Linked DNA regions of Sus scrofa. The protein of the gene in region 3 purifies or fractionates together with the protein of the main gene of each other region. This does not show direct contact. Links are inferred from orthologs where the notes say so. Each region holds a gene or a part of one and is shown on either strand. Other genes may lie near its edges.

What was found.
Region 1: the proteins of NEK2 (region 3) and ANAPC1 purify together in Homo sapiens (affinity purification with mass spectrometry; 3 studies listed by BioGRID and IntAct, with this or other methods). This does not show direct contact. The link is inferred for Sus scrofa from reciprocal best matches to the Homo sapiens genes NEK2 and ANAPC1.
Region 2: the proteins of NEK2 (region 3) and ANAPC4 purify together in Homo sapiens (affinity purification with mass spectrometry; 6 studies listed by BioGRID and IntAct, with this or other methods). This does not show direct contact. The link is inferred for Sus scrofa from reciprocal best matches to the Homo sapiens genes NEK2 and ANAPC4.
Region 4: the proteins of NEK2 (region 3) and ANAPC7 purify together in Homo sapiens (affinity purification with mass spectrometry; 3 studies listed by BioGRID and IntAct, with this or other methods). This does not show direct contact. The link is inferred for Sus scrofa from reciprocal best matches to the Homo sapiens genes NEK2 and ANAPC7.
Region 5: the proteins of NEK2 (region 3) and ANAPC2 purify together in Homo sapiens (affinity purification with mass spectrometry; 4 studies listed by BioGRID and IntAct, with this or other methods). This does not show direct contact. The link is inferred for Sus scrofa from reciprocal best matches to the Homo sapiens genes NEK2 and ANAPC2.

The regions. Positions count from the first base shown.
Region 1 is NC_010445.4:44,569,882-44,575,169, forward strand, and holds part of ANAPC1 (anaphase-promoting complex subunit 1), read left to right. Parts: intron 1-662; coding exon 663-754; intron 755-2,027; coding exon 2,028-2,162; intron 2,163-2,335; coding exon 2,336-2,418; intron 2,419-3,316; coding exon 3,317-3,395; intron 3,396-4,142; coding exon 4,143-4,217; intron 4,218-5,288. UniProt on the Homo sapiens protein: Component of the anaphase promoting complex/cyclosome (APC/C), a cell cycle-regulated E3 ubiquitin ligase that controls progression through mitosis and the G1 phase of the cell cycle.
Region 2 is NC_010450.4:19,299,252-19,305,255, forward strand, and holds the start of ANAPC4 (anaphase-promoting complex subunit 4), read left to right. Parts: upstream 1-2,001; 5' UTR 2,002-2,220; coding exon 2,221-2,349; intron 2,350-5,952; coding exon 5,953-6,004. UniProt on the Homo sapiens protein: Component of the anaphase promoting complex/cyclosome (APC/C), a cell cycle-regulated E3 ubiquitin ligase that controls progression through mitosis and the G1 phase of the cell cycle.
Region 3 is NC_010451.4:131,556,176-131,561,947, reverse strand, and holds the end of NEK2 (serine/threonine-protein kinase Nek2), read right to left. Parts: coding exon 5,687-5,772; intron 3,002-5,686; coding exon of another isoform or gene 2,895-3,001; exon of another isoform or gene 2,894-2,894; intron 2,283-2,893; coding exon 2,056-2,282; 3' UTR 1,421-2,055; downstream 1-1,420. UniProt on the Homo sapiens protein: Protein kinase which is involved in the control of centrosome separation and bipolar spindle formation in mitotic cells and chromatin condensation in meiotic cells.
Region 4 is NC_010456.5:31,786,269-31,792,084, reverse strand, and holds the start of ANAPC7 (anaphase-promoting complex subunit 7), read left to right. Parts: upstream 1-2,334; 5' UTR 2,335-2,440; coding exon 2,441-2,541; intron 2,542-2,931; exon of another isoform or gene 2,932-3,053; coding exon of another isoform or gene 3,054-3,069; intron 3,070-5,816. UniProt on the Homo sapiens protein: Component of the anaphase promoting complex/cyclosome (APC/C), a cell cycle-regulated E3 ubiquitin ligase that controls progression through mitosis and the G1 phase of the cell cycle.
Region 5 is NW_018084833.1:710,874-716,599, forward strand, and holds the start of ANAPC2 (anaphase-promoting complex subunit 2), read left to right. Parts: upstream 1-1,638; 5' UTR 1,639-1,693; coding exon 1,694-1,798; intron 1,799-2,074; coding exon 2,075-2,697; intron 2,698-3,640; coding exon 3,641-3,773; intron 3,774-4,695; coding exon 4,696-4,870; intron 4,871-5,250; coding exon 5,251-5,370; intron 5,371-5,608; coding exon 5,609-5,726. Other genes in the region: SSNA1 (Sjoegren syndrome nuclear autoantigen 1), read right to left, coding at 441-548, 814-1,013, 1,492-1,543. UniProt on the Homo sapiens protein: Together with the RING-H2 protein ANAPC11, constitutes the catalytic component of the anaphase promoting complex/cyclosome (APC/C), a cell cycle-regulated E3 ubiquitin ligase that controls progression through mitosis and the G1 phase of the cell cycle.

The DNA.
Region 1 (5,288 bases), on a different chromosome or scaffold from region 3:
TTAACGTTCTTAAAAATTTAAAGGAAGTGTCGTTTCTGTTTGTTATCAGTATTTGAACATTTTTTCACTACATCTAATGAATGAATTTGAAAATAAGAAGAACAAAAGGAAAGAAATTACAAATTGAAGCTTTTTTTGAGCATCATGCCCCTTAAAAAAATTTTTTTCCTGCTCTTTTTTTAAAATGAAACCCAAAGTTTGGCAGTATTTTAAAGTCATTGCTTTCAAATTGGCAAATTAGGAGTTCCCATCGTGGCTCAGTGGTTAACGAATCGGACTAGGAACCATGAGGTTGCAGGTTTGATCCCTGGCCTTGCTCAGTGGGTTAAGGATCTGGTGTTGCCATGAGTGTGGTGTAGAGCTCTGGTGTAGGCTGGCGGCTACAGCTCCGATTGGACCCCTAGCCTGGGAACCTCCATATGCCACAGGAGCGGCCCAAGAAATGGAAAAAAAAAATTGGCAAATTAGAAGAACCACTTTGGGGCTTTATTTTGTAGCAGACTGTAGTTGTGGACACCATTTGGGATAACATCAGATCTTTCTGAGTGGGGTTATATTGAATCCACAGTTCTTAGAAGACTTATTAGAAAGTCAATTCTAAAAGTTTTATGAACTAGGATTTTAAGAGGCCAGCTTGAATTGTGCTGCTTTCTGTTTTATAGGACGGCCCCCTGGTCCTGAAATGGAATACTGCACAGACAGAGAGTCCTACTCTTTAGCGGCTGGCTTGGCCCTGGGCATGGTCTGCTTGGGGGTGAGCACAGTCTGTCTTCAGTTACGACATCTGCTTTTAAGACAATAACCTTGGCACTTTACTCTGAAGACCACTCTGCCTTATTGTGACTTAACTTACCCAGATTCTCAGCTCTTCCTTCTTTTCTGGATATTTCTCAAAGTGCCAGGTTTGGGAAGGGAGAGAAATTGTAGTGAAGAGTGGGGCTTTAAGGTTTCTTTCCCCTGGCTTAGATGTAAGTGTTTATGAATGAACTAAGGGAATGACGTTTTTCAAAAGGAGCTCAAGACATAAGATGAAGAAGTGACAAGTCACTCAGTCAGAAAACGGTGAAAATGTGTGTATGATGGGAACCCTTAAGGGTCTGTAGTCATTATTAGAAATAAATCGTAACCTTCTTTTGGAGCCTTGGTGTTCACTCAGTACCCCAGAATTTAGCCACAATTGCAGCTGCTTTGTGACAGAATGCAGAATCACCCTGACCCATCTTTAACCCCATCCAAGAGACATAGTGTTGAGTTAGCAGAAACATTTCATTAAATGAGTTTGTCAGCTAGAATCTAGGTCTTTGAAGAACTGCCAATACATTGTTACAGTGAAACTGAATTATATAAAGAAAATTGACTGTTAGGTTTATGATTCTTCACATTTGATGCGTGAACTAAAGAGACAGATGATACAGTGCAAAAGCATCATACTGGGAATTGGGACCTGAATTCTGGTCATGACCAGTGAGTCGTGCCATTTAACTGCAGTCATGTCTGCTGGTTAAGCAACTTGATAGACTGGAGCCAAATTGCCTTGTTTTATATGCATTAACTATGTAGCCCTATGCTAATATTATGTAGCCTTGAGTGTAATCTCTCTGTGCCTCCCTTTTCTCACCTTTAAAACTGAACTGTTTAATAGAATTATATTAAGTAAGTTAATCAATGTTAAACACCCAGAATTTCCCTGGAAGAGAGTTAAGTGTTCAGTAAGTTATTATTATAGTTACTATTGCCTGAATAGTTCATAGTAGTGAAAGGATTCACATATTCATAGTTCAGATTTCATTTACCTACCTAGTATTTTTTTAACTCTTAATGCAGTTAACTGTATTTTGAAACCTTTGTGTATTTTATGAAATTATATGCATTATATGTATAATGATTTTTAATGAAGTATTTTAATTGATAAAAAACCTCAGGTACCTGGCATTGAAGATAGTTTCTTCTTTTCTTTGTCATTAGTATGTGTTACGGATCTCATTCCATAAGACCTCCTTTCACATGTGTGTGATTTTGCTTTCCAGCATGGTAGTAATTTGATAGGCATGTCTGATCTCAATGTTCCTGAGCAGCTTTATCAGTACATGGTTGGAGGCCATCGGCGCTTTCAAGCAGGGATGCACAGGGAGAAACACAAATCTCCAAGTTACCAAATCAAAGTAAGTCCAGATCAAGCAACAGATCAACATTATGGAAGCTAGGAAGTTAATATGAAAATAGTAGTTTTCATGTCAACATTTGTAAACATGTTAATTTTAAGCATAGGCTAGTATTCAGAAGAATTTAAAATAATTCAGAACTCTTTTATACAAATAAGATTTTCTTTCGATAGGAAGGAGATACCATAAATGTGGATGTAACTTGTCCGGGTGCCACTCTTGCCTTGGCAATGATCTACCTAAAAACCAACAACAGGTACTGCATCCCTTGCGGTGATGGTGTGACTTCTTTTCTGACCTCACTAGGAACACTAAATAGTCTTACTGTGTTTATCTCCCCTGTGCTAGATCAGCCTGGTTTTAGTGCTGTCAAATGCAAGTTATATAGATTTTTATCCAAAAACCATACATTTTGTTATTTTAATGATATTTGATAGTATAGTTGCCAGTTTCTAGCCACTTTTGTTTTATAGTTGTCACTGGCAATCAAACAATGTCCAAATTCCTTTCCATTAATTTTGTAGGTTGTTTGTTGTGAGGACTTGTTAAATTAGAAATACTTAACATTCTTATATTCCTGGTTACCATTCATAAAAGTGGTTTCTAAGCTCTTAGTTCAAGAGCTTGCCTAATGACCATACCTTCTGCCTCCCCAACTCCTAGTAAATAGTGCTGACACCTGAAAGTAGACCTTTGGTGTTTATTCTTTGACATTTTGCATAGAAGAGTAAGTTGGACAGGAGACAGACAGTAAACCATGTTCTAAAAGTCTTAATTTAAAAAACTTTCTAAGAGTCAAGAAATTTTTCAAAGTTGTAAATTCCTTTTTTAGAAAAAGTGAGTATTTGCAAAATTAACAAGGTGGTTAAAACCAGATTTATTCATCGTTTTCATAAAGGCATATGTCATTGCTTCCTGAGCACTGGAGATACTTCACTGAAGAAACAAAACTAAAGATATCTGTCCTTAGGAAGCTTATAGTAAGGCATACCTACATACCTAATAAATTTTACATTGGAGAATGTAAAATACTATGGCAAAAAGATAGGGCAGTTGTTGGAGTGGAGAGAAAATTCTTGAAATTTGTCTTGGGATTCTTGATTATCTTGCCCTCTTTTTGAGCAATAATGTTTACTGATATCCTCCACCAACAGATCCATTGCAGATTGGCTCCGAGCTCCTGACACCATGTATTTGCTGGACTTTGTGAAGCCAGAATTTCTCTTACTTAGGGTATGATACTTTGCTATTTTTCCTCTCTGTTAACATGAGGAGTCTATTGTGATTCTTAAGTTTAGCTTGCAAATATAAATGTCTCTCTAAGAGAGCATTTTACTGTGGATCCATCGTGTGTGTGTGTGTGTGTGTGTGTGTGTGTGTGTAAAATTGGTAATATTCTTTTGAAATTCCCCCGGTATAACTGTAGAAATTGCCAAGAAAGGCAACCGCATTGATATGTAAAACTTGGAGTGACATTTCAGCTTCTCACATTATTATTCAAAACTTCCTACTAAGCAATAATTGACTAGGGCTTCATTACGTCTTTATTTTGCACTCTTTTGTTATTAAGGATGCAATCATACTATTAAAGGCATTATTAGTAACAGAAATTGTTTGACATAATTGCTTCAAATTTTTCCTCTGCCTTGATGGTTAAATGTACTTAGCATATGAAAGGCTTTAAATTATGGTGACAGAGCTGTATGATTTTTCTTTTATGGAACAAGTTTTAAAAACTTCTTCCAAGGTATCCAAACTTGGATGATGACGAACTCAATTTTAGGGGGTCTTTTTGTGGTAAAATGTAAATCTTCAGTTTATTTTAATGAGTTAGCTTAGGTTGATACTATATACCTTATTTTTCAAAATGTTCATCAGTTCAGAACTAATTCTTAATTGTTCTGTTTATGATATTGACTTTGTTACAAAATCTATGAACTTTATCTGCTGTAACTAATTTTTCTGTATTGCATTTTTAAGACACTTGCTCGATGCCTGATTTTATGGGATGATATTTTACCAAACTCCAAGTGGGTTGATAGCAATGTTCCTCAAGTACGTATGTATAATAAGTATTATATCTTTAATCACGTGAAATTATGATTTCTTGTGGGATTTCCAAAACCCTGAAAGTACTTTTTCTCTTGAAGGCAGTATTGATGTTTTTCTTGAAAACATAGGAACTTTCATTTTAAGATTGTGTGCTGAGCACAGACCATACTTTCCTTTTTCAGTTACAGAGCCCTAGAAATTGTGATTTTTTTAAAAACTAAACGTCTCAAAGAACCCTAAAAAAGTATTCTGACATTTTTATCCTAATTAGGTACATATTTATTTAAGGTACTGTTTTACCCTGTGATAATTTTTTATATTGTATATAATAAGTGTTTTCAATTACTTAATGGACTTGGTGTTTATGATTTGATGATTTGCAGTACATAAGAAGATTTTATCATAAGCATCTTCTGAATACTTATTGGTTTATTATAGAAAGCATCCTGATGCTTTCTGAACAGTCTTCTAAAAAGAATTATAGGAATAGGAGTTCCTCTTGTGGCTCAGTGGGTCGGGAACCTGACATAGTGTCCATAAGGATGCGGGTTTGATCCCTGGCCTCCCTCAGTGGGCGAAGGATCTGGTGTTGCTGCAAGCTGTCGTGTGGGTCACGCATATGGCTTGGATCCCACATTGCAATGGGTGTGGCATGGGCTAGCAGCTGTAGCTCTGGTTGGAACACTAACCTGGGAGCTCCCAGGTGCTGCAGGTGTGGCTGTTTAAAAAAAAAAGAAAATATAGGAATAAATATTAAAAGTTTTACTTCTGTGTACTTATATGCATACGTTTAGAAAATATATACCTTTATCTTTTTTGGGGGGGAGGGGTTCTGTAACTGCAGCATATGGAAGTTCCCAGGGGTCAAATCAGAGCTTCAGCTGCTGGCCTATGCCACAGCCATAGCCACGTGGGATCCAAGCTGCATCTTGGACTTCCACCCCCGCTCGCAGCAACGCCATATCTGTAACACACTGAGCAAGGCCAGGGAGCGAACCCGCGTCCTCATGGATCCTAGTCGGGTTCGTTACCACTGAGTCACGATGGGAACTCCACCTTTTTTTTAATTTGTAT
Region 2 (6,004 bases), on a different chromosome or scaffold from region 3:
TGTGTGTTTGTGTGTCTTTTCATTTCTCCTCCTTTTCAGGTACTTAAATCATGCCCTGCATTAGCACAACTCTTTGTGCCCATTTTCCTGTGTAGGTTAGCAGCCAGTTGATGGCAGGACCTGTGGACATCATTGTGAGTGTTCACTGGCTCATAGAGCTGTGTCCTGCCCACGGTGATATCAGACCAGCTGCAGTATGCATGGCCTCAATCCTCCTCCCACAACCCTGGGAAGCAGGTGCTCAGACTAACACCTTTCCTCACCTTCCCAGTAAAAGCATCAAGTGAATGGAAACGGTCACTTATGCTTCCAAACCCAACTGTGTGCTACATGATAATATGATGCTGATAGAACTGCCCAAGGAAGGAAAGCTTAAACAAAATGCACAGGAAAATCCAGCTCATTTGATGCGATTTGAATTGGAACATTAGGACATAAGTTAAATTACTTGAGGGTCAGCTGGAAGGTCATTGCAATAAAGAGAAGATAAGATCTCTGCCATTTGATTTCAGGAGATTGTGTATAAATGTACCTCATCAAGGCTGCAAGGAGAAAAGGCATCAAAAGTGAGCAAGCAGATCTCAGAGAGATGAGGGGCGAGTTTTATCAGCTGGACAGTCACAAGAGTTTCATGCTATTGCGGTGCTTGGTACCCTTGCAGACTAGAAGGGTGACATCCGGTGTCTTCTCCTCTGAATGAGGAAGTCTTTCAGTGACTGCGTGGGAAGCCAGCACTGCTGAGGGGTCACTGGGACCATTTTTTAGTTCACCTAGAGAAATAGGAAGTACGTTCCTAAGTTAAGATTTATGAATGGAGAACCAGCCTTGTGTGTGCCAGGAATAGTCAGGACAGGTCTTCATCATTGTTTGGGGACTAACAGAGCATAGAGGCCACCTGGTCCTCAAGGTTATTAAACAGTATCAACTACAAAGCCCTTAACAACAAAAAGAAGTGATTTACCACACATTACAGGCTTGCGTAGGGTCAGTGGAAAGACAGGAGGAACTGTACGGACCCGAGGCGGTGTCAGTTCTGCTAACAACCACACACCATCCCAGAACATTAAACAATATCTGAAAATGCATTTCATGAAGAACAAAGGCAAGTCCATTCTCCCCATTAGAATATGGCCTCTGGTAGAATTGGGGGGAACATGCTAAACTGCAGCAAAAGCAAGGACAAAAGGCCGTCTCCGAAAGGGAGCAGGGCAAGCATCAAGAGTTACGCACAGTGCCTGGCACAAAAAAGTGCCTCGGACACTTGTTGCTGAATGAATTCGTCTACCTCTGTCATCTGTTTCCCAGGGCTAGATCCATAGAGAGGGGAGGAAGATGGGGCTCGTTCAAAACTGAAATCCTGCTGCTTTCTTTGAACAAGCAAAAGGAGTGAAAGGTAGCTGGCTTTGTACCACAGATTTTAAGTTCAAGCATCGCAGGGTGGTACTGTCACATCCTCTTAGCCAGGTTCATAACTTGTGGGAACTTTTTAACAAGTTAACATATTTAAATGTGTCTGTAACAAGAAGCACCAGATAGGTTCTGATTTACGCGTCCTGCCAGGCTGACCTGTGAGCCTTTGAGGGGGAGACCCCATGTCCCGTGCATTTTTGTGGCCCAGACGCCTTCATACAGCAGATGCTGCAATAGCTGTGGGACAAATCTTGGGGAGCCCGCAGTCCTCATGTATGAAGATAGGGCCACTACTACCAATAAGTTGTGAGGCTTAAACGGGATTCAGAATCAAGATATTTATGTCAGGTTTAAGAGCAGGGCTCTGGAAGCACCTAGAGCGTTTTCATAAATAGGGTCCAAGCCCATATTTTAATCGGCCTGAAGTGCTGCCCGGGTAAGGGTTTAAAAAAACAACAACAACAAAACCGAAGTGATTCTATTGAGCAACCAGGACTGAGCACCGCTGCATTGGAGGCCGTCAAAGTGGCTCCAGCGGCTGGAGACCGCTCTCGAGCTCTCGCGAGGAAATCCGGGACCCGGAAGTGCCCGGAGCGCGCGCGCCGGGCGGCGGGGAAGCTGCGGCGCGCGGCTGGCGCGGGGCGGGAGGGAGGGAGAGGGTGCCTTCCCTGCGGTGGGGCATCTCTCGGGTACCGCCGCATTTGGGGCTCTGCAGGAAGGGCCGGGGACCGAGGTGCCACAGGCACCAGGCCGGCCGCGGAGGGGGTCCCTGCTGCCTTCCGAGTGGGGTGTCCTTGCAGGGCCGCCCCCATGTTGCGTTTCGCGACATGTTTCCCGTCCTTCCGGGTGGTGGGAGAGAAGCAGCTGCCACAAGAGATCATTTTCCTGGTCTGGTCACCCAAGCGGGATCTCATTGCTTTGGCTAACACGGCAGGCGAGGTGAGTGAGCCGGCGTGCCACCTGTCCACCCCGCCCCTTCCTTCCAGACCTGCTGAAAACTAAGGGACTGGATGTGGGGCAGGTCATTTATATGCCCATTTCCTGCATTTTATGGGCCAAACAAGTTTCCACACAGCTTGACACAGTCAGACAGCCCTGCATCCCCAATTCTCTTTTAGTCATTTATGTGTTAAATAGGCTTTTTAAAGACTCACGATGTGTCGTTCATGATCTAGACATGGTAGCGGGTCCACAGATTCTGCCCATAGTTTACTTGCAGTTTAGACCGAAGAAAAATGACCTATTGTCAAGCTTCAGCTGCGAATGACCATGCATATATAGAGAGCTGCCACAGAGGTTATATTAAGAATCTATATTTCATTGTACAAGTTTTACAGTATAGGTTGGATAGCTACCTCCCATTAAAAACACTTTGAAGTTAAACCCATGCTTCCCTGGATTCCTGATGGAATGTGCAGGAGTGTTGTCAGTTAGCATTTCTAGTTCACATGATATTGCATTTCATCCAGTGTGACCCAGTTGTACCCACCTTTCTGCTGAGAGTTCATCGTTACCTGGCAGCCGTATTGTAAGGAAACCCTCACCCGTGCATCTTTACTCCTTTGACCTTTTGGCAGGTTTCCTGGTTATCTGGCCAGATGAGAGTTGTGTTATGTGCAGCCAAGTTTGGAAATGAAGTGGTGAAGAGAATATATCTGCCAGGAAAACTTAGCAGCCTTCAAAGCTATGTTGACTGTCAGGACATTGTTGCCAGGGGCTTTCTCAAGGCCGTCTATGAACCCTTCTAGCCTCCCACCCCTGCCAGGATGCTTTGGCGCTCCGGGACTCTAGAGAGGAGTGCGAGATAGTACAGCTATAGTAGCAGGAAGGAAGGGAGAGAATTGGGGCATCAGTGTGATCACATGGATGTAATTGTGGTCACTTGTTGCTTCCGTTTTCTCAGTGAAGAAGAAGGAGTGCTGTTTAGGAAGAAGATGGGAGAAGAAAGTATTGGAAGCTTGAGAAAAGAGAGGCAGTGAAAAACTGACAAGTAGACTAGTAAAATCTAATGGGATTGTTGATCAGCATCAGGAGCCACATGAGGTTAGTGGTTTTGCAGTTTGATGGAAACTAGTGCGCTGGGTTGTATGTATGTCTCTTCTATTCCATTCAGCTGTGTGGGCGCAGGCATGATTGGATTTAACCTGGATTGTTGTGACAGTGTGACAAAGCAAGAGGGATGCAAGGGAGCTGAAGTTACATGCAAGAGGGATGATTGGGATGATGAAGTTTGAATTCTGACCCGATGGAGTAGGGAAGGGAAGGCGTGTGTGGGGTGAGGGACACTGAAGAGGTGGTAGAATCAATGGATTGGATGTCTTGCTGAAGCTGAAGAATTGATGTTGGATATTAATAGGAACGAATAGGAAAGATACAGGCAGTTTTGGAAAGTGGGAGCTTTGGAACCGAAGATTATGGCAGCATTTGTAGTTGTTGGTAATAATAAGGTCACAGGCATGACCCTGGAAGTGACTGAGTGACTGAGGTGAGGTAGAAGATGTGATCATTGACGGAGAGGTAGTTGAGAACCAAAAAACCAGGACATTGCAGCTCTTGAAATCACCAGGAATGACCACGAGTGGTATTGGAAACCATGTGTGAGCCAGACAGGAGTCCGAACCTCCCAGGAATGGGGCGGCGGGGGGGGTGGCCTAGGGGTCTGTAGATGACTGCAGCTAAGAAGGATAGCAGGTGGTATGGTCTGATTGCATGTGACTCAAAGTTAGAGGATTTTTAAAGTGAGAAAAATTCCCTGCTCTGGCACAGTGGGTTAAGAATCCAACTTCAGGGAGTTCCCGTTGTGGCTCAGTGGGTTACAAACCCTGCTAGTATCCATGAGGATGCTGTTAGATCCCTGACCTTGCTCAGTGGGATAAGGATCTAGTGTTGCTGCAAGATGTATTGTAGGTTGCAGATGTGGCTCATATCTGGTGTGACTGTTGCTGTGACATAGGCGGCAGCTGCAGCTCTGATTCAGCCCCTGGCCTGGGAATGTCCATGTGCTATTGGTGCGGCCATAAGGAAAAAAAAAAAAAATCTGACTGCAGTAGCTCCAGTCCCTGCAGAGATAGGGGTTTGATCCCTGGCCTGGCACAATGGGTTAAATGATCCAGCATTGCTGCGGCTGTGGCGTAGGTTGCAGCTATGGTTCAGATTCAGTCCCTGGCCCCTGAACTTTCATATGCTGCAGATGAGGCCATAAAGTTAAAAAAAGAGAGAGAAGACCTCCCAGGAATGGGGGGGGGGGGGCGGTGTGTGGCCTAGGGGTCTGTAGATGACTGTAGCTAAGAAGGATAGCAGGTGGTATGGTCCACCATCTGGTAAAGGCACCCAAGTGTGTTATGCTATAGCCCTGAGGACTGAACTCCCCTCTTCCATGTGTTGTTACAGGGACAGTCCTTGTACAGGAAAATGCTCTAAGTCTTACAGCTTAAAGGTCATCTGTATCAGTGGTGCTTTACGAAAAACAAAAGCAAAGAACAAATTGTTTTTATAAACAATATAAGAAGTATGTAAAAATGCCCTGAAAACATATCGATTACAGATAACAGCTATTTTTGTCTGTACTGATTTTGCTCAGATCTTATTCATCTTTTACTTTAAAAAATGTGTAAAATTCGAGAACTTAAAATAAGTAAAATTAGAGAACTTTTTGTAAGTTTTTAATCTTCTGGCCCAGTCGTAGCACGGCCATGCAGAGCAGCCACCACCTGAGAAGCCTGTAGGGAGGCAGCGTTTTCAGGTGAGAAGCACCTTTCAGGGAGGAGAAGGAAGGTCCTGATTCCTGACTGTGAATTCCAGAGGGCACACAGCAAGGGTTTCAGAAGTAAGGAAAAGCAGAGGTGGGCTCGGAAAAGAGCATTGAGTCTGGGGGCTGAACCGTTCCTTGGGAGTTCTGGATTCCCTGTAACCTGGAACAGGCGTGCAGGGTGCTCTGAGGTTAGCTGTGGGGGTGGGAATTAAGGGGTGTGTGTGAGTTGGGGGGGGCGGGCCTTTAGGAGCACCTGCAGTTCTAAGGCTTTTTTTGTCTTTATTCCCAATGGCTGTAGAGAGGATGGAGTAGGGACCACTTTTATTTTAGCACAAGGTGCTCCAGGGCATTCTCTTGGCCCTCCGAGGTGGGCATTTTCCTGTGTGTAAATGGAATGGCTAAGTGACTTGTCTGAGCCCATGGCCAGTAAGTGACACAGCTGAAACTGTTGTGTGATTCCAAGTTTAGTGTTATTTAATTATATACAGCCACCTTTCCCGTTCCGTTTGTGTCCTTTATTTCTTTTTTTGTCATCTTGTTGGATATCTTCATATTGCTTTCTGAAAAATAAGTCTCTTGTTGACGTAAAAGGTGGGGAAAAGTATAGGATACAGAGTTAAATTAGACCTCTTTTCACCTGTTTTTCAGATATTGTTATCTTTTAATTTCTTCTGATAGCTCAATATTATACTTGATATGAGTTTTTAAAAATTCTATAGTGGGGATCTAAGATTATTTTAGTTTTGGAAATGGATTATTTATTATGTGCCATTATATCTGTTTTGTCTTAGGTTTTACTTCATCGACTTGCAAGTTTTCATCGAGTTTGGAGTTTTCCACCAA
Region 3 (5,772 bases):
TTGGCAGAAGTGATCCAGGTACTCGGATCGAGGTACAAAGAAAGTCCCAGCTTGGAGGGGCAAGATCCTTGGAGTGAGCATCTGCCGGAGTCGGGGCTGTGGGCCGGACTTCTCCTGCCAGACAGTGTGCAGAGCAAGCACCAGAGTCAAGGGCCCCATCACCTGTCACAGGCAGGTGTGTGTGTTCCCCTCTGGCCAGCTTGAGGCGCCCTCCCAGATGAGTCGCAAAATACGAAGTGTATAATCTTGGTGATTCTACAGAGGAGCTAAACGTGCTGCTATTTGCTTTTAAAACTGGCATCGTGCGGTATAAAAGACGAATGGTAAAATTCATGCTAATAATTTAAATTTCATTTTGCTTAGAAGATTTAACAGCAGATAACACAATAAGCAGACACCTTGGAAGAAAGGATAAGGCGCTTCTACGAACCTTTAATGGCACTCGTTTCCTGCTTTTTTAAACAGGGAGCGCCACGCTTTTAGTTTGCCCTGGGACCTGCGAATCACACTGAACACTGACATGGGGTGTAACGCCGGCATACGGCAAAGCCGCGGTCATCAGCCTCTGAGTTTTGATAACATGTCTTTGCTGGAACGACACTGTGTAATAAGCCTGTGATAACGTGGCTAATAAACAGGGGTTTGGGACTGGCGCATGCACACCGTGGTATATGGAATGATTGGCCAATGGGGACCTGCTGTCTAGCACAAGGAACTCTACCCGATATTGTGAGAATCTATACGGGGGGGAAAAAGCCTAAAAAAGAATGGGTGTGTGCATGTACAACTGAGTCACTCTGTTGTACAGCAGCCATGATCACGACGTTGCGAGTCAACTAGACGTCAATAAAGCGTTTCAAAACCAGCTACTAAAGGAGCTGTTCCTGTTTATTAAAACCCTTCAGAACTTGGTCTTCTTTCGATAAAAGGATTAGCATTGCCAGGAAAACATCACATGAAAAATGTGATGGGCACCGCGAGGACTGCTGATTCATATCACAAGTCAGACATATTAAAAAAAATCCACCAAAGCCAAAACAAGTTCCCTTCAAACTCCAGCAAGCTTTAGCTTAGATCAGGGTTCCCACGCGTGGCCCTGTTGGCATTTAGTCCTGGGACTGTCCTGTGCACCACGGGGGGCGGGGGGAGGGGGTTAGCAGCAGTCCCGGCCTCTGCCCACTAGATGCCAGCAGCACCCTCCCTCCAATTGTGACCATTAAAAAAAACTGTCTCCAGATGTTGCAAATATCCCCTGGGGGGGGAAACTGCCCCCAGAAAGAACCACTGGCTTAGTCGGTCAAATGAGATGCAGAGCAAAGTGCCCCCAGCCCTGGGGAGCTAACGTTCTCATGCCTGCCCTCCAAACCTGTGAGCCGTAAACACAGACTCCCTCCAACCAAGAGATGGGCACATGCCAGAGACTAGGAAAACTAAAGAATTCTTTTATTTAGTCAGAAAGAGGTGGCACAGGACATTCACAGAATAAAAAGGGGAAAAGCACACAGACATCACAGAGATGAACTCTTCCACAGAAGGTCACAGATTCACGCCCCAGAGCAACGGGATGTTTACACGCGAGATGCCAGCGTATCAGTGGCCGACCAGGTTTTCTCTAAGCTCAAGAACATTTAAAAACCCAGACTTAAATTTTCACTCTAGACAGGACAGCTGTAAAGCACACCACTCAGTCCTTCAGACTTCACAGTAAGCACTGCTCCTGAGTAAAGATGTTTTCCTACTATCCCCCCCAATTCCCAACACTTAGAATATAACATCGAAGGTTCCAGAAGTAATCACACAGAGGATGAAAAGCCCAGTTGGCCAAGACAGTCATTCTGTCTGTAAAGCCTTCTTAGAAAAAGAAAGACAAATGCACGGGGTGGACGCTGGCACACCTGCCGCCGAGGAACAGCAAAAGCGACCCCGAAACATCAGGCTTCCTACAGAAAACGCACGGTTCACGGCAGCACGCGTGTAGGCCGCGGCAGGGGAATGCCAGCCTCGAAGGGCGGGCAGTGTTAGACCCGGCTCGCCGCTCGCTGTCTCTGGGCCAGGCTAGCGCATGCCCAGGATCTGCCTGCTTTTCAGCTGGTACGTTTTCTCAATGTCTGCCAGGGCCTGCGCCCGCAGCTGAGCAGCATGGAGCCTCCTCTTCAGGTCTTTGCACTTGGATTTGGAGCTGAGCTGACTCTCAGGAGTCTCGCTCCTTGCGACGTTCTCCTTACTCTCCCCGCTGAAGTGAACCTTCTTCTTCATTCCCGAGGTCGGAAGATCAAAACGCTCTTCAGGGAGGAAAAAGAAGAGGGTCTGAGTTACGTGAACAGGAGTTCAACTCCCCCGTACTTGGCAGACTCACCGCAACAGTCACCCTGTCGCTTCACACGTGAACCCCGGGGACCGGCTATTCTCTCTGGAACCAGAGCGTGACAATTCAGCTGAGGAAATACTCAAGATCTAACTGGTTTTACTCAACGATTCATTTTTTTGGTTTTTTTTTTTTTTTTTTTGCCATTTCTAGGGCCGCTCCCACGGCATATGGAGGTTCCCAGGCCAGAGGTCCAATCAGAGCTGTAGCCACCGGCCTACGCCAGAGCCACAGCAACACCAGATCCGAGCCACATCTGCGACCTACACCTCAGCTCACGGCAACACCGGATCTTTAACCCACTGAGCAAGGCCAGGGATCAAACCCACAACCCCATGGTTCCTAGTCGGGCTCGTCAACCACTGAGCCAGATGGGAACTCCTGCTCAACGATTCACGATGCTGGCAGCATCCTACCTACCAGACAGAAAGCCCTGAGGAGCTGTGCAGAATGAAAGACCTTTACGGGCAGAGGGGACGGGATGAGGAAGTCACTCTAGCAGGGAACAGATCTGCGTGGCAAGGTCACCTTAATTCAGTGGACAGCAGGTGTCTACCAGGCAGATGACCTTACTACTGCTGACGAGGTCATGCCAGATTGACTGCTTTAAGATTCCATTCCTGGGAGAGGCAGAACCTGTAATTAAGTTAGGTATTAAGTCTTGGTTTGGTGACATTTGGTGATAACTGACTCCATTTTGGACCTGTTATCTCTTTTGTAACAGGCTAGGGGCATAGGTTTGGCAGAAATCAATCAGGCTTTTAATCTGCAGCCAAAAATCGAGGAGCATATGTTTTATTCTCCTAACACTCAACCTTCCTGTTAAGGTTAAATGCACAGAGGATCACAGTCTCTAGTATGAAACGTCTGGAAAGCAATGTTCTTTATCTCTATTCTTGAAAACAAGTGCCTTTCTGCCTACAACGCATGACTCCCAGGAAAGCATGGACGCAGAAGCTCTTCCTTACAGCAAAGCACCTACAGTTCTGGCGAAATACTTAAGAACACTTAGAGCGGCTTAACTGCCCAGAAACTTGTTTCAAAAAGAACCTAAGCCAGGGTGGCAGGGTAAAAGCAGAGGCAACACAGTAAAAGTTAATCAAGTTAATAGTGAGTGAAGATGTGAATTGTACTTTTAACATTTAAAAAAAAAAAAAAAAAGAAAGAATTTCCTTCAAGTGTCTACACTATTAGGAACTGACAGGTTTGAATTCTAGAACAAAAAGGTTCTTTTTGTTTTTCCTTTGTGTTCATGTAAAGGAAATACGGTCGAATGTTTACTGAGCTCACTGCGTGCCGCTGGGGACCAAACAAAGGCCCTGTTGTGGTGGGAGGAGAGAGACCACAACAAACAAACAGGTGCATGTGAGGAGTCTCCGAGGGGATGTGTGCTCTGGGCGAAAAGGAGACAGATGCAGGGCTGTTTGCAGTCATGCAAAAGACCTCGTAGTAAGACGGCTCCTGAGCAGAGACCTGAGGAGAGGGAGGAAGTAAGAAGCCAGCCGACTACGTGGAGAAGAACATTCCAGGCCAAAGAACAGGAGGCGCCCTGCAGGAGTGGGCCGCACAGAGAAACACTGCCTTCGCCTGCCTGACTTCTACTTCCTACACTGCTTCTCCGCCAGCCTTTCAGGAGATGGCTTTTAGGCCCTAAGTCTATGGTTTCAAACAGATCCACCTTTATGACCTCAAATACCTGAACATTTGTAAACCAACAGTATAAACTGTAAATCTTACTGAGATAGTTTTGTAAGAAAGAAAAGGGTTTAGAAAAAAAGTTAGCATTTCTTTTTTGTTGTTGGCCGCCCTGTGACACATGGAGCTCCCGGCCCAGGGATCAGATCCCAGCCACAGTTGTGACTTAAGCCACAGCTGTGGCAACACCGGATCCTTAACCCACTGTGCAGGGCCGGGGATCGAACCTGGATCCCAGCGCTCCCAAGACACCACCGCTGATGCTGTTCTTGCTACAGCAGGAACTCCTTGAATTAGTATTTCATTAAACGAAACGAATTAGTATTCATTAAATAGACTAAGGAGAGCTTTAGAAAAGATGCTCTTAGTTTATTTGTTTTCCTCGTGTCTGAATTGCAGGACCCAAGGAGGGGAGGAGGACCTTCCCAACTGTCCCGAGTTCATAAGGACACTGCCCCCCACTGCTTTGTTGCTCATCTGGGGCTCGGATGTGCTCAGTACTTTAAAATATCTCCTACCCACAGTGGATGCTCCACCCTACAGCTCATTTTCAGTAATTGCCGCGACTCGCATACAGGTAGGTTCCTCTACCCACGGATCCCACAGAGTGAAACACACCGTCCTTCTTAGCTTTTCACCCTTTGCTCAAAGACGCTCGGGGCAAGATGTCGATAAACTCTATAACTGGAAGATCTGTCCCCAACGGCGCCCTTGATGATTCTTGGCAATGAGCTTGATGCCTTCAACTCACCCAGTTAAAAATCCCCCCTCACTCTATCGATCATGATTTAAGTGTAGTTTGTCTTTATGGATGGCAGTGTGGAATCGAAGAAAAACTGAAATAAGTATAAAAATATTGAAATGTTAAAATAGCAATAATGAGGGAAAAAAAGATATTTACTGCCATCACTAATTTCATTTCTTTCTATCACTTATTACAAAGCATATGTAGATATTAATCAATCGCTTTTTCTTTTATTGGCTGCACCCACGGCACATGGAAGTTCCCGGGCCTGGGACTGAACCCGAGCCGCTGCAATGACAACGCTGGGTCCTTAACCCACTGTGCCACAAGGGAACTTCCCAAGCAATCACACTTGGACGCATACGTTTCAGCTGGAACAAGTCCTCATAAAGATCCCAAATGGATGGCCTTTGCTATCGCTGGTTTATCACACCTTTGAAGCCATACTTTCTAGGAAGGCTGTGTAAGTATTATTTGGTCATGTGCAAGAGGGAAATGCTAGGATTTTCACTGGAAAATGGAGGGAAATGTAGAGTTTTGAGAACATATTCAGAGAAAAATCTGAAACGCACAGCATATTTTTAAAATGACCCAATTTTAAAAAATAAATATCAGATACAGAACACATAGTTTGATAAAGAAAAAAAAAAGCTGAAGATGAAATCGTCCTGCCTCGCGTCTCACGCCTCTGACCCCAGTGAGTCAGTCACTACTAGAACAGAATTCTTGTCTCCACTGAAACACATATGTTCAATTAACTCCCTCTTACAATTCGAGACTCTGGAAATTAAAAGGGCTACCGGAGCCCCCTTGGGGGCAATGCTGGTGCCCACTTCCTCATTTGTGGGACCAGCTTCTGTTCACTAAGCTGGTTCTCATACCTGGACCGCCCGCCAGAGACAGGAACTTCTGGTCCTTCAGCAGACTGTAATTCTTCAGCAGACTTTCTGCCCTGGCCAGTTTGTTC
Region 4 (5,816 bases), on a different chromosome or scaffold from region 3:
AAGTAAATCCACACAACTATGGTCAATTAGTCTTTGACAAAGAAGGCAAGAATATACAGTGAGGAAGAGTCTCTTTAGCAAGTGGTGTTGGGAAAGTTGGACAGACACATGTAAATCAATGAAGTTAGAACACACCCTCACACCAAACATAAAAATAAACTCAAAATGGCTTAAAGACTTAAATATAAGACACGACACCATAAAACTTCTAGAAGAGAATACAGGCAAAACATTCTCTGGCATGTGTCATACTAATGTTTTCTTAGGTCAGTCTCCCAAGACAAAAGAAATAAAAGCAGAAATAAACAGCAAAAGACACCATAAACAAGCCAAAACACAATCAATGAACCGGGAGAAAATATTTGCAAATGATGTGACCAACAAGGACTTAATCCCTGAAATATACAAATAGCTTATACAGCTCAATAACAAAAAACCAAACAACCCAATTGAAACATGGGCAGAAGACCTAAATAAACATTTCGGCAAAGACGATATACAGATGGCCAATAGGCACATGAAAAAATGCTCACCATTGCTAATTATTAGAGAATGCAAATCAAAACTCATAATGGCCATCATTAAAAAGTCTATAAGAGGAGTTCCCACTGTGGCCACAATGGGGTCATCAGTGTCTTGGGAGCACTGAGATGCAGGTTCGATCCCCAGCCCAGCACAGTGGGTTAGGAATCTGGCATTGCTGCAACTTCAGTTTAGGTTGCAGCTGTGGCTCAGATCTGATCCCTGGCCTGGGAACTACATATGCTGAGGGGTGGCCAAAAAAAGAAAAAAAAAAGGTCTATGGGAGTTCTCACTATGGTGCAATGGGTTAACAATCTCACTGCAGGATATCCTGCTGTGGTGCAGTGGGTTAATGATCTGGCTTGTCTCTGTGGTGTTTCGGGTTTAATCCTTAGCCCCAGGCAGTGGGTTAAGGATCCGGCATTGCTGCAGCTGTGGCACAGGCTGCTGATGTGGCTTGGATTCTGTCCTTGGCCCAGGAACTTTCACTTACCTTGGGTTCAGCCAAAAAACGTTAAACAAACAAACAAAAGACTCTAACTGCAATGGCTCAGGTTGCTATGGAGGCTTAGATTCAATCCCTGGCCTGGGATACTCCATATGCTGCGACAAATGCTGGAGAAAAAGGAACTCTTCTACACTGTTGGTGGGAGTGTAAATAGGTGCAGCCACTATGGAAAATGAAGTATGGAGATTCGTCAAAAAACTAACAATAGAATTGCCTTATGATCCAGCAATCCCACTCTTGGGCATATATCCAGATAAAACTACAGTGCAAAAAGATACAATTACCACTATGTTCATAGCAGCACTATTCACAAGACATGGATGGAAACAATCTAAATGTCCATCAACAGATGAATGGATAAAGAAGATATGGTATGTATACATACATAAAACGGACTACTACCCAACCATAAAAAATAATGAAATAATGCCATTTGCAGCAACATGATGGACCTAGCGATTATTAAGGAAAAGTCAGTCAGAAGAAGAAAGTCAACATCATGTGATATCACTTATATGTGGAATCTAAAATACAACACAAATGAACATATATATGAAACAGACTCAGACATAGACAACAGACTTGTGGTTGCCAAGGGGGAGGGGAGTGAGGGAGGGAAGTATTGGAGGTTTGGGGTTAGCAGATGCAAACTCTTATATGTAGGATAGATTAACAAGCACAGGGAACTGCAGAGCACGGGGAACTGCAGTCAATATCCTGTGATAAACCATAATGGAAAATATGAAAAAGAATGTATGTAAGTACAACTGAATCAAAAGAATGTATGTAAGTACAACTGAATCACTTTGCCGTACAGAAGAAATTAACGGAAATTATAAATCAATTATACTTCAATCAAAAAAGTAAAGCCGCCTGCAGGTGCCCATAACACCTGAGGGGGGGCGTGGCACTTTTTGCCTAGAGCTCCTGTGGCAGCCAGTGCTGCCCCTGGCGCCTGATTGAAATATTTAATTCCAGCTGTTAGGAATTCCTCCCCCACCTACAAATAACTTTTATGATGTTAAACACTTTTTATTAATTTATGAAACACAAATTCCTCTCAGACGCATTTCAATTGAGCATGTATACATTCTGAGGTGTCTTTTGTCTGCAGCCAACTGTAAACCCTCAATAAAGACTGCAGTTCAGAAGGCTGGTGTAACTCTTACTAAAAACAAAAACCCCAAAAACCAAATTGTACCGCTTCACACGAGGCATGGCGGGGAAGGAATTGAGGTTTGTTTGTTTGCTTTTTTTCAGGCATTTCAGTAGCTGCCTATTATCTTGGGGGCGGTGCCTCGTTTGGATCCGATGGACCCCGGCGGGGCCGCCATTTTGGAGTCTTCTCTAAGGAGCGTCTACCGGCTTTAAGCGCTGGTGCCGCCGCTCCCCGCGGCCTGGCTGGGCGGAATGAATGTGATAGACCACGTGCGAGACATGGCGGCCGCGGGGCTGCACTCCAATGTGCGGCTCCTTAGCAGCTTGTTACTCACAATGAGTAATAACAACCCGTGAGTTGAGGCGGGGAGCGGCCTGGGGCTGAGGAGAAAGCGGTGCGGGTTTGGGAGCGGGGGCTGAGGGGTCCGGAGACTGGCGGGAAGAAGCGGCTGCGGGCTTCAGCTGACGTTCCGGGGTCAGCGAGGGTCTCGCTGGGCAGAGCCGACTTAGGAACGCTAGTTGAGTTTACTAGGTCCCAGCGGTAGACCAGGCACTGGGATGAGCTCCCTGTGGGGGATTCGGCGAGCGGCGCTTTCTAGATATGGGAGGCGGAGGCTCTGAGGACGACCCTGGCGAGCGTTCCCCGAAAGTTAGGAGCAGAGGTTTTCTGAGGCACCTGTCGCCGGGCATTGCGCCTGTCACATCGTTGGGCTAACTCCTCCCTTCCCTACCCCTTTTCGAAGGACATTTCTTCGCTCGCCAAGGCTCAAAGAAGCCCAGTTCTAGTTTTAGACTTTCGTCCCACATCTGAGATTGATCTTTCCTTTTGGGTATATCAGCAAGGTTCTCTTAATCGCCCCCGAAAATGGGAGACTTTCTTGGTAAGTGGGAGTGGCGCCTTTTTAAGCAGTGCCTCTTTCTGTTTGCAAAGCTGCCATTTTTAGAGTTTTATTACAGGTACAGCACAGGGCTGTTTCCAGCTTTGAGTGCATATCGTTCCTCTGCTTAAATTTCTCCAAAGTGCTTAAATTAACATTCCTTCCCACGGCCTAGGAGGTCAAATATATAGCTCTCCTGCTCTATCTCACCTACTCTGCCCTCTGTACTTCAGCTTCCCTGTCTATTCTTTCTGTTACTTGAACAGACCAAGCTGGTTCTCAACTCAGGACTTTTGCATTTCCTGTTCTGCTTGGAATCCTTACCTCAGAGCTGCCTCCTCATGTAGGTTTCAGTTCAGATACATCTCTTAGAGAACTCTTCTCTGGCCATTAGAATTGTCCCTTATTCTCACTATTTTATTCCTTTGCTCTGTTTAACATTTTGCGTCTTTTTTTTCCCCCAAACTGAGGTGTAATTGACATATTAGTCTCATGTGGAACATAATGATTGGATATTTGTGTGTTTAGTGTATCTATTACTGCACATAGTTACAGATTTTTATCTTATTTTGCTTTTTTAGGGCTGCACCTGTGGCATAGGGAAATTCCCAGGCTAGGGGTAGAATGAGAGCTGCAGCTGCCAGCCTACACCACAGCCACAGCAACGCAGGATACATAACCCACTGAGCAAGGCCAAGGATAGAACCCACATCCTCATGGACATTAGTCAGGTTCTTAACCTGCTGGACCACAATGGGAACTCTGAATATTTTTTTCTTGGGATGAGAACTCTGTTTTTTTGGCAGCGCCCATGGCATGTCAGGTTACTGGGACAAAGATTGAACCTGCACCACAGCAGTGACACTAGCTGCCGCAGTGACAACACCGCATCCTTGACCTGCTGTGCCATGAGGAAACTCTGTGATAAGAACATTTAAGATCTATAGTCTGCATCACTTTTTTGTGTTACTGGTTTTTTGTTTTGTTTTGTTTGTTTTTTGTCTTTTTGTCTTTTTCTAAGGCTGCACTCATGGCATATGGAGGTTCCCAGGCCAGGGGTCTAATCGGAGCTCAGCCACTGGCCTACGCCACAGCCACAGCAATGCCAGATCTGAGCTGCGTCTGCAACCTATACCACAGCTCACAGCAATGCCAAATCCTGAACCCACTGAGAGAGGCCAGGGATCGAACCCGCAACCTCATGGTTCTTAGTCGGATTCATTAACCACTGAGCCACAATGGGAACTCCTGTTTTGTTTTTGACCTCACCTGCAGCGTGTGGAAGTTCCCAGGCCAGGGATCAAACATGCACCCACAGCTGTGACAACACTGGATCCTTTAACCAGCTAGGCCAACAGGGAACTCCTTTTGTGTCACTCTTTAACATCTAATGAAGTGAGCACAGTGCTTTTGTGCAGCAAGCACTCAGATGTTTATCATTGAATGTGCTGAGGAAGGGCATACAACCTCAGGAAGGTAAAATACCATGTTCAAGTTCACACATTTAATAAGAGGAGGAGCCACAATGTCTGGATTTTGGTCCTCCTGACTTGGAAGTCTCCATTCTGACCCACCGCAGTCTACTGCGTTTAAATGACATTATAATCTTCTACTCAGGATGGACCCATTTACCTTTGGCCTTGCTCTAGATGCTGTCTGAGCCACTTAAAAGTGTGTTGCCACTATTGCTACCTATTTCATTTTCATTAATGTGCTTTTGGACCTCACTATGTGAGACCCATCATTTTACCACTGTCTACTTAGTACAGACAGTGTGGAGCACTGGTCTCTGTTAGCCTTCTTTGTTTATTCTGGAGGCTTTCACCTAGTTCTGGGTGATTTGTCAAAGCATAGTGTCTACCATTTGGAATTTATGCACCAGTTAGTCATTGTTTTGGGTTCTCAAAGATGTTACAAGATAGTTGGAAGGAGTTTGATCCTCTGATTAGACTTAGCCCATTAAGTTAAACTGGCAGTTTACTTCCTAGCTTCAAGAGGTATATAAATTTTTAGAGTTTTCATTTATATTTGAAAATTTCTTTGTTGCCAGCACACACCATTAAAAACAAGGTCCATCTGTAGTTTTCGAGACTGAGAGAAAAAAAAAAAAATCGGAGTTCCCGTCGTGGCGCAGTGGTTAACGAATCCGACTAGGAACCATGAGGCTTCGGGTTCAATCCCTGCCCTTGCTCAGTGGGTTAACGATCCAGTGTTGCCGTGAGCTGTGGTGTAGGTTGCAGACGCGGCTCGGATCCCGCGTTGCTGTGGCTCTGGCGTAGGCCGGTGGCTACAGCTCCGATTCGACCCCTAGCCTGGGAACCTCCATATGCCGCTGGAGCGGCCCAAGAGATGGCAACAATAACAACAACAACAACCAAAAAAAAGACAAAAGACAAAAAAAAAAAAAAAAAAATCAAACAGTATTAAGGGGTATGCAGATAAGTGTCTGACCTTGAGTCTTGAATCTCACTCCATCATTTTCCTTCTTCAGAGGTAACAACTTAGCACTTTTTCATGTATCATTTCAGAGATAACCTATGCATTTATAAGTAGGCATGTATGTTATATAAATATCTGAATGCTTTCTCTGTAGTATTTCTATCAAATCAACTATTTTCTTTCAAATCTTTTTTTTGGTGGTGCCAGTGGCATGTAGAAGTTCCTGGGCCAGGGATTAAACCTGAGCCACTGCACACACAACGCCAGATCCTTAACCCACTGTGTCACAAAGGAACTCCCTCTTTTCTTTT
Region 5 (5,726 bases), on a different chromosome or scaffold from region 3:
AGGGTGGCGTGTATCTTAACAAAGACAACCTTTATTGACGTTACGGCCCCAGGGTCAGCTCTGAGGTGAAGGAGGGCCCTGGCCCCTTCCCACTTGCCTGGGCACCTGCTGGCCAAGTGATAAGGTGAGGGTGACATGATGCCGAGACTAGAAGCGGGGTCTTCCCTGCAGCCCAGGGGTGTGGGGGGGCCCTCAGAGGCCGAGCAGAACTGACCGACCCAGAACCTGTGTGAGCACAGGGCCAGGACACCCAGCTGGTGGGCTGCAGCGAGGCCTTCCTTGTCACCCAGAGCCAGTGGTGGCTGGCAGCTGCCTCTCGGCACCCAGAACAAGGAGAGAAAGCAGCCGCTGCCGTGAAGAACAAAGAGGCCGTGAAGACTTGCTGGAGGCGAAGCCCTAGGTGGGCGCGGTGGAGGCGGGCCCCTCTGCCGGCGGCCTTGTCAGCTATCCTTGCCTCCACTGCTCTTCTGTTCTGAAGCTGTGGCCTTGGTCAGGTTCCCTGCTTCCCTCTTCAGAACGCTAAGCAGAGTCTGCGAGCTCTCCAGGATCTGGGAGCAGAAACGCCAGTGGTTACACCATCCCCCCTCTGGGAAGCTCCCACAGCCCTTCCCTGCCAGGGCCCTTTTCCTCCTGAGTCTACCCTACGCTCCCTGCAGAGTCGCTCTGGCTCCTGCTGGTCTTAGGGAGTTACGCAGGAAGAAGTACCGTCCAAGCCACGCTAGCAGCTGCTCTGTCACTCCACAGTGGGCCCTCGGCCTGCCTGTCGGTGGGCCCTTCTGGGACTTGTCCCAACATGCAGGCCCCAAGTCCCACCTTGAGGTAGGCGGCCTCTGTCTCCGCGATGGTCCGATCAAACTCGTTACGAGAGGCGATCTTTCGGGCCAGATTCTCGTTGACTCGGGCCAGCTTCTCGGTCAGCTGCCTCACTTCATTCTGCAGCCGCTGCTTCTCATCCTCCTCCTGCTGGATCTGTCGACACAACTCTTCCCGCTTCTGACACAGCTCCTCGATGCCTGGGGTGGGCCGAGAGGGGCAGGGGCTGTGGGCCCAGGGCAGGCAAGAAGGCACCGCCCCCCACCCCCCAACTCTGAAGCCCGCTGCTCGGTAGGAGAGAGAAAGGCAGCGGAGGACCGGCTGCCGGCTGGACCACCTTCCGCCCGAGCCAGGCCAGTGTCTTACGTCCCGGGGGACTCAGGGTTAAAGTAGGCACCGCACCAGAACCCTCGGCGCGGGGCTGGGAGGCCGTGCGTGCTCAAGCCGCTTGTCCTTCGCTCGCTCCACAGATACCAAGCGCCCGGGGCGGGCCCCACACCGGGGCTGTGCGTCGGGCAGGTCCGACGGCGCTGGCGCCGCCCGGACAGGAACAGCCGCTTACGGACTGTACAACACACTCGGCCGCGCGCTGCGAGCCGACCACCGCCCGGGCCCTGCGGGCCGGCGACGCCACGCCCTCCCCGCCAGCCCAGGGAGCCCCGCCGCGCGGCCGCGCACATTTGACCAGCTCGTTGTTGTAGTTCTGCAGCGCCGCGCCCTGCTGGGTCATGGTGGCCGTCCGGGGTCCCGGCCGCTCCAACCGCCGCTACCGCATCCCTGCCGGCGGGCCCGGATTACGTCACCGCCGCGCGCGCGCGCGCCCAGCCCTGCGTCATCTCCCCGCGCCACACGGGGCGGCTCTGGGAGCTGGTGGGCGCAGATGGCGGCGGCGGAGCAGCAGAACGACCCCGGGCCTGCCCAGGAGCTGCTGGTAGCGTGGAATACCGTGAGCACCGGGCTGGTGCCGCCGGCCGCACTGGGACTGGTGAGGCCCGAGAAGAGGGCGGCGGGCCCGCGTGGGGTGCCCAGGACCCTGCGCGGCCTCTCCTCGGGTTTCTACGGGTCCCTGTGCCGCTTTTCTCCAGACTCCCTCCTGGTTCGACAGCCCTTTCCGAGAGTCGGCCGTGCATCCCTGCGACGAAGCGCAGCGGCGTTTCCGTGGGCTCCCCTCCTCTCTGCCTTTCCCGCCTTTGCCTGCCAGTAACCGTCTTCTCCATCTCTGCGTGGTGTTTCCTTCCACTCACAGTTTTCTGTAATCCAGGCATCCTCCCGGACCAGCGGCGCGGTCCCTCCAAAGGAGGAGGAGCTCCGGGCGGCGGTGGAGGTTCTCAGGAGCCACGGACTGCACTCGGTCCTGGAGGAATGGTTCGTAGAGGTGCTCCAGAATGACCTGCAGGCCAGCATCGCCCTCGAGTTCTGGAATACCATCTCCCAGCGCGAGAACTGCGCGGACGAGCCCCAGTGCCTTCTGCTGCTCCTCGATGCTTTCGGTCTGCTGGAGAGCCGCCTGGATCCCTACCTGCGGAGTCTAGAGCTCCTGGAGAAGTGGACTCGCCTGGGCTTGCTCATGGGCACTGGTGCCCAGGGCCTTCGCGAAAAGGTCCACACCACCGTGCGGGGCGTCCTGTTCTTTTCCACCCCCAGACCTTTCCAGGAGATGATCCAGCGTCTCTATGGGCGCTTTTTGAGGGTATACATGCAGAGTAAGAGAAAAGGGGAAGGGGGCACAGATCCTGAACTGGAGGGGGAGTTGGACAGCAGGTACGCCCGTCGCCGGTACTACCGCCTTCTGCAGAGCCCGCTGTGCGCCGGGTGTGGCAGTGACAAGCAACAGTGCTGGTGCCGCCAGGCGCTGGAGCAGTTCCACCACCTCAGCCAAGTCCTGTGAGTACTTGCACCTGCGTTGCCTGTTCCTCCTGGCTCCTGCTTGCTCCTCTGGAGAGAGCTGGCGAGCCGGCTGGGGGCGGTCTCTGTCACCTGTCCTGGAAGTCAGGGACATGGCCACAGGAGGGGCTCCGGGAACATTGTGCTGGGAGTTTATGCCTTTCCACCTGGTCACAGGCGTGTTTGTCACTCACACTAGCTCAGGGTTTCACACGTTGCTTCCGTTAAGACCGACAGGATCCCAAATTTTCTGGGCCCTACAGCGCTCTGCTGTGCCTTCTGTAGCCTGTCGGGGTGGCGGTGGGGGAATGACGTTTATCCTGCCTGTACTCGCGAAAGATGGGCTTGCTGTTCTTCTGTCTTTAAGACAAGTTAGGAGATGAGCCCGACAGGCTGGGCGAACAGGTTGCTTTTGCGGCCTTTGAAAGGAGAGGACTTTGTTGGTGTCACAGCCAGGTCTTGTCGTGTGGACCCTCTGCTCTCAGTGGCCACTTGGGACAGTTTTGTTCCTTTCAGTGAAGGGGCAGCAGTGCAGCTTTAGGCTTTGGGCTGGACCGAGGTGTGGCCCATTACACAGAACCTGTACTTCTCGGGAGTCTTGCTGTCGCAGTCACGACATGCGTCGATGACTCAGGCAGCTGCAGTTATTTGTATGTGGCCAGAGTAGTGCTGTATTTAGCCGTTGTCTGAGGGCCCCTTCCAGGAGAGGCGTCCTCGGCCCCAGCAGCCAGCCATGGCGATTACGTGGGGGAGGCCCTCGCCCCAGCCTGGGCAGAGGCCCGCAGGGGAGGGCAGCAGGGATTTGCCAGTGCTTTGTCCTCCTGGCGGCTTTTCCTCTGAGCCCATGGAACAGCTGTGCCCCGGAGAGGGCGGCCCTGGGGAGGCGGGGCGAGGGCGGGTGCATGTGTGCTCTGTGGGCTCCACGGCCAGGACCCCCCTCCAGACACAGGCTCAGTCTGCTGGAGCGGGTCAGCGCGGAGGCCGTGACCAGCTCCCTGCGCCAGGCGACCCGGGAGAGGATGGAGGACCGCTGCCGGGGCGAGTACGAGCGCTCCTTCTTGCGCGAGTTCCACAAGGTGAGGCGCCTCGGGCTCTGTCCCCGGAGACTAGGGTGGAGGTTTCTTGGACTTAGAAGGGGCTGGTCTGGAGTTCCCGTCGCGGCGCAGTGGGTAACGAATCCGACTAGGAACTGTGAGGTTGCGGGTTCGATCCCTGGCCTCACTCAGTGGGTAAGGGATCTGGCGTTGTCGTGAGCTGTGGTGTAGGCCGGCAGCTGTAGCCCTTATTAGACCTCTAGCCTGGGAACCTCTGTGTGCCTCGGGTGCGGCCCTAAAGAGACAAAAGAAAAGTGGTCAGTGTGTGGAGACTGGGGTGAATTAGCACTTTGCTGGGGATGGAAGCTGTTTTGGTGCTGGGTGGAGGCTGGCCATTTTGTGCCCACCCCGGTGACAGCGAGGAGGCGTCTATGCCGTTGCCGTGAGGTCTGTGCAGGATCACATGGCTGGAGGCAGTGCCAGGGCCTGAGGTGTCCCACTGAGGGGGCTTCGGGATATCCAGGCTGTGGGGCGTGGTTCAGGGCTCTGCTCTGGGGCCCACCACGCTGCTCCCACTTCCCCTGTCCCCTCCCCCGCGTCCTGGCCTGGGTTTCCTGACTGTGGATGAGCTGCGCGTGGCAGTGGTGTTTAAAATGAGCATGCCCGCTGTGGGGTCTGGTGCGAGCCCAAGGCCCCAGGGAAGGTCTGCCGCGCCCAGGCAGCGGTGGGGGACACGCGAGGCCTCCGTGCCGCAGCGCCTCCTGTCAGCCCACCTGCCCACCCTCAGGGACGTCCTGCCAAACGCTGCCTGGGGGGCTTGCTGGGTGTGTCACCCGCCGGGTGTGTCTGTCCACCCGGATGTGGCGCCCTGCATCAGGGCCACTGTTGGCAGAGGTGAGCGTGGGTTCCGGGTGCTCTGGCCTCGGGGATTCCCCCCCACCCCACGGCTGTGCTCTCCCCCCAGTGGATCGAGAGGGTGGTCGGCTGGCTGGGCAAGGTGTTCCTGCAGGAAGGCCCCTCCAGGCCCGCGTCGGCGGAGGCCGGCAGCACGCTGCGCCGCTGGCGCTGCCACGTGCAGAGGTTCTTCTACCGCATCTACGCGGGTCTGCGCATCGAGGAGCTCTTCAGCATCATCCGAGGTCAGCCCCGCCCGCCCGGGGCACCTTCCCAGCCCCTCTGTTCTTCAGCTCTTGGCAGGGGGTGCTGTGGGGGGCAGATCTGGGCCTTGGGGTCTTGAGCAGAGCTGGCCCCAGCCCGGGGTCTGGAGCCTGGTCTCTGTTCTGGGCAGGCCCTTTGGGCAGCTCTGGGCTGGCTCTGGGCATCACTTTGTCTCCCCGGGGTGGCGGTGGTCAAGTGTGCGGGCGCAGGAAGCGTGAGGGCTGCACGAGGCCCGAGCAGGCGCCTTGCCGCAGCCCGCAGAGGCCTGGCTGCTCGCTCTGGGCTGCTGCCGAGCGTCTTTCTACGTGCACAGTGTGTGCGTGCCCGTGTGCGTGTGCCAGGACCAGGCCTCTTCCCACAGACTTCCCAGACTCCCGGCCGGCCATCGAGGACCTCAAATACTGCCTGGAGAGGACCGACCAGCGGCAGCAGCTGCTCGTGTCCCTCAAGGCTGCTCTGGAGACGCGGCTCCTCCACCCAGGTCCGCCGCGGCTGCCGGCTCGCCCATCATCTCGGGGCCCAGACCCGGGAGCCAGGGGTCCAGGCTCCCAACCCCGGGGCCTGCGGCGGGTGGGGTGAAGAGGCGGCCCTGGGCACTCCTGGCTCAGAGTAGCCCCTGCCCGGGAGGGGAACGTGGAGGGGGCGGCGGCGAACACGGGCCGCTCCCCGCCCATCACCTGGGTCTCCCTCCTGTGACCTTGGTCCCCCCACCCGGCCAGGCGTGAGCACCTGCGACATCATCACCCTGTACATCTCTGCCATCAAGGCGCTGCGCGCGCTGGACCCATCCATGGTCGTCCTGGACGTGGCCTGTGAGCCCATCCGCCGTTACCTGAG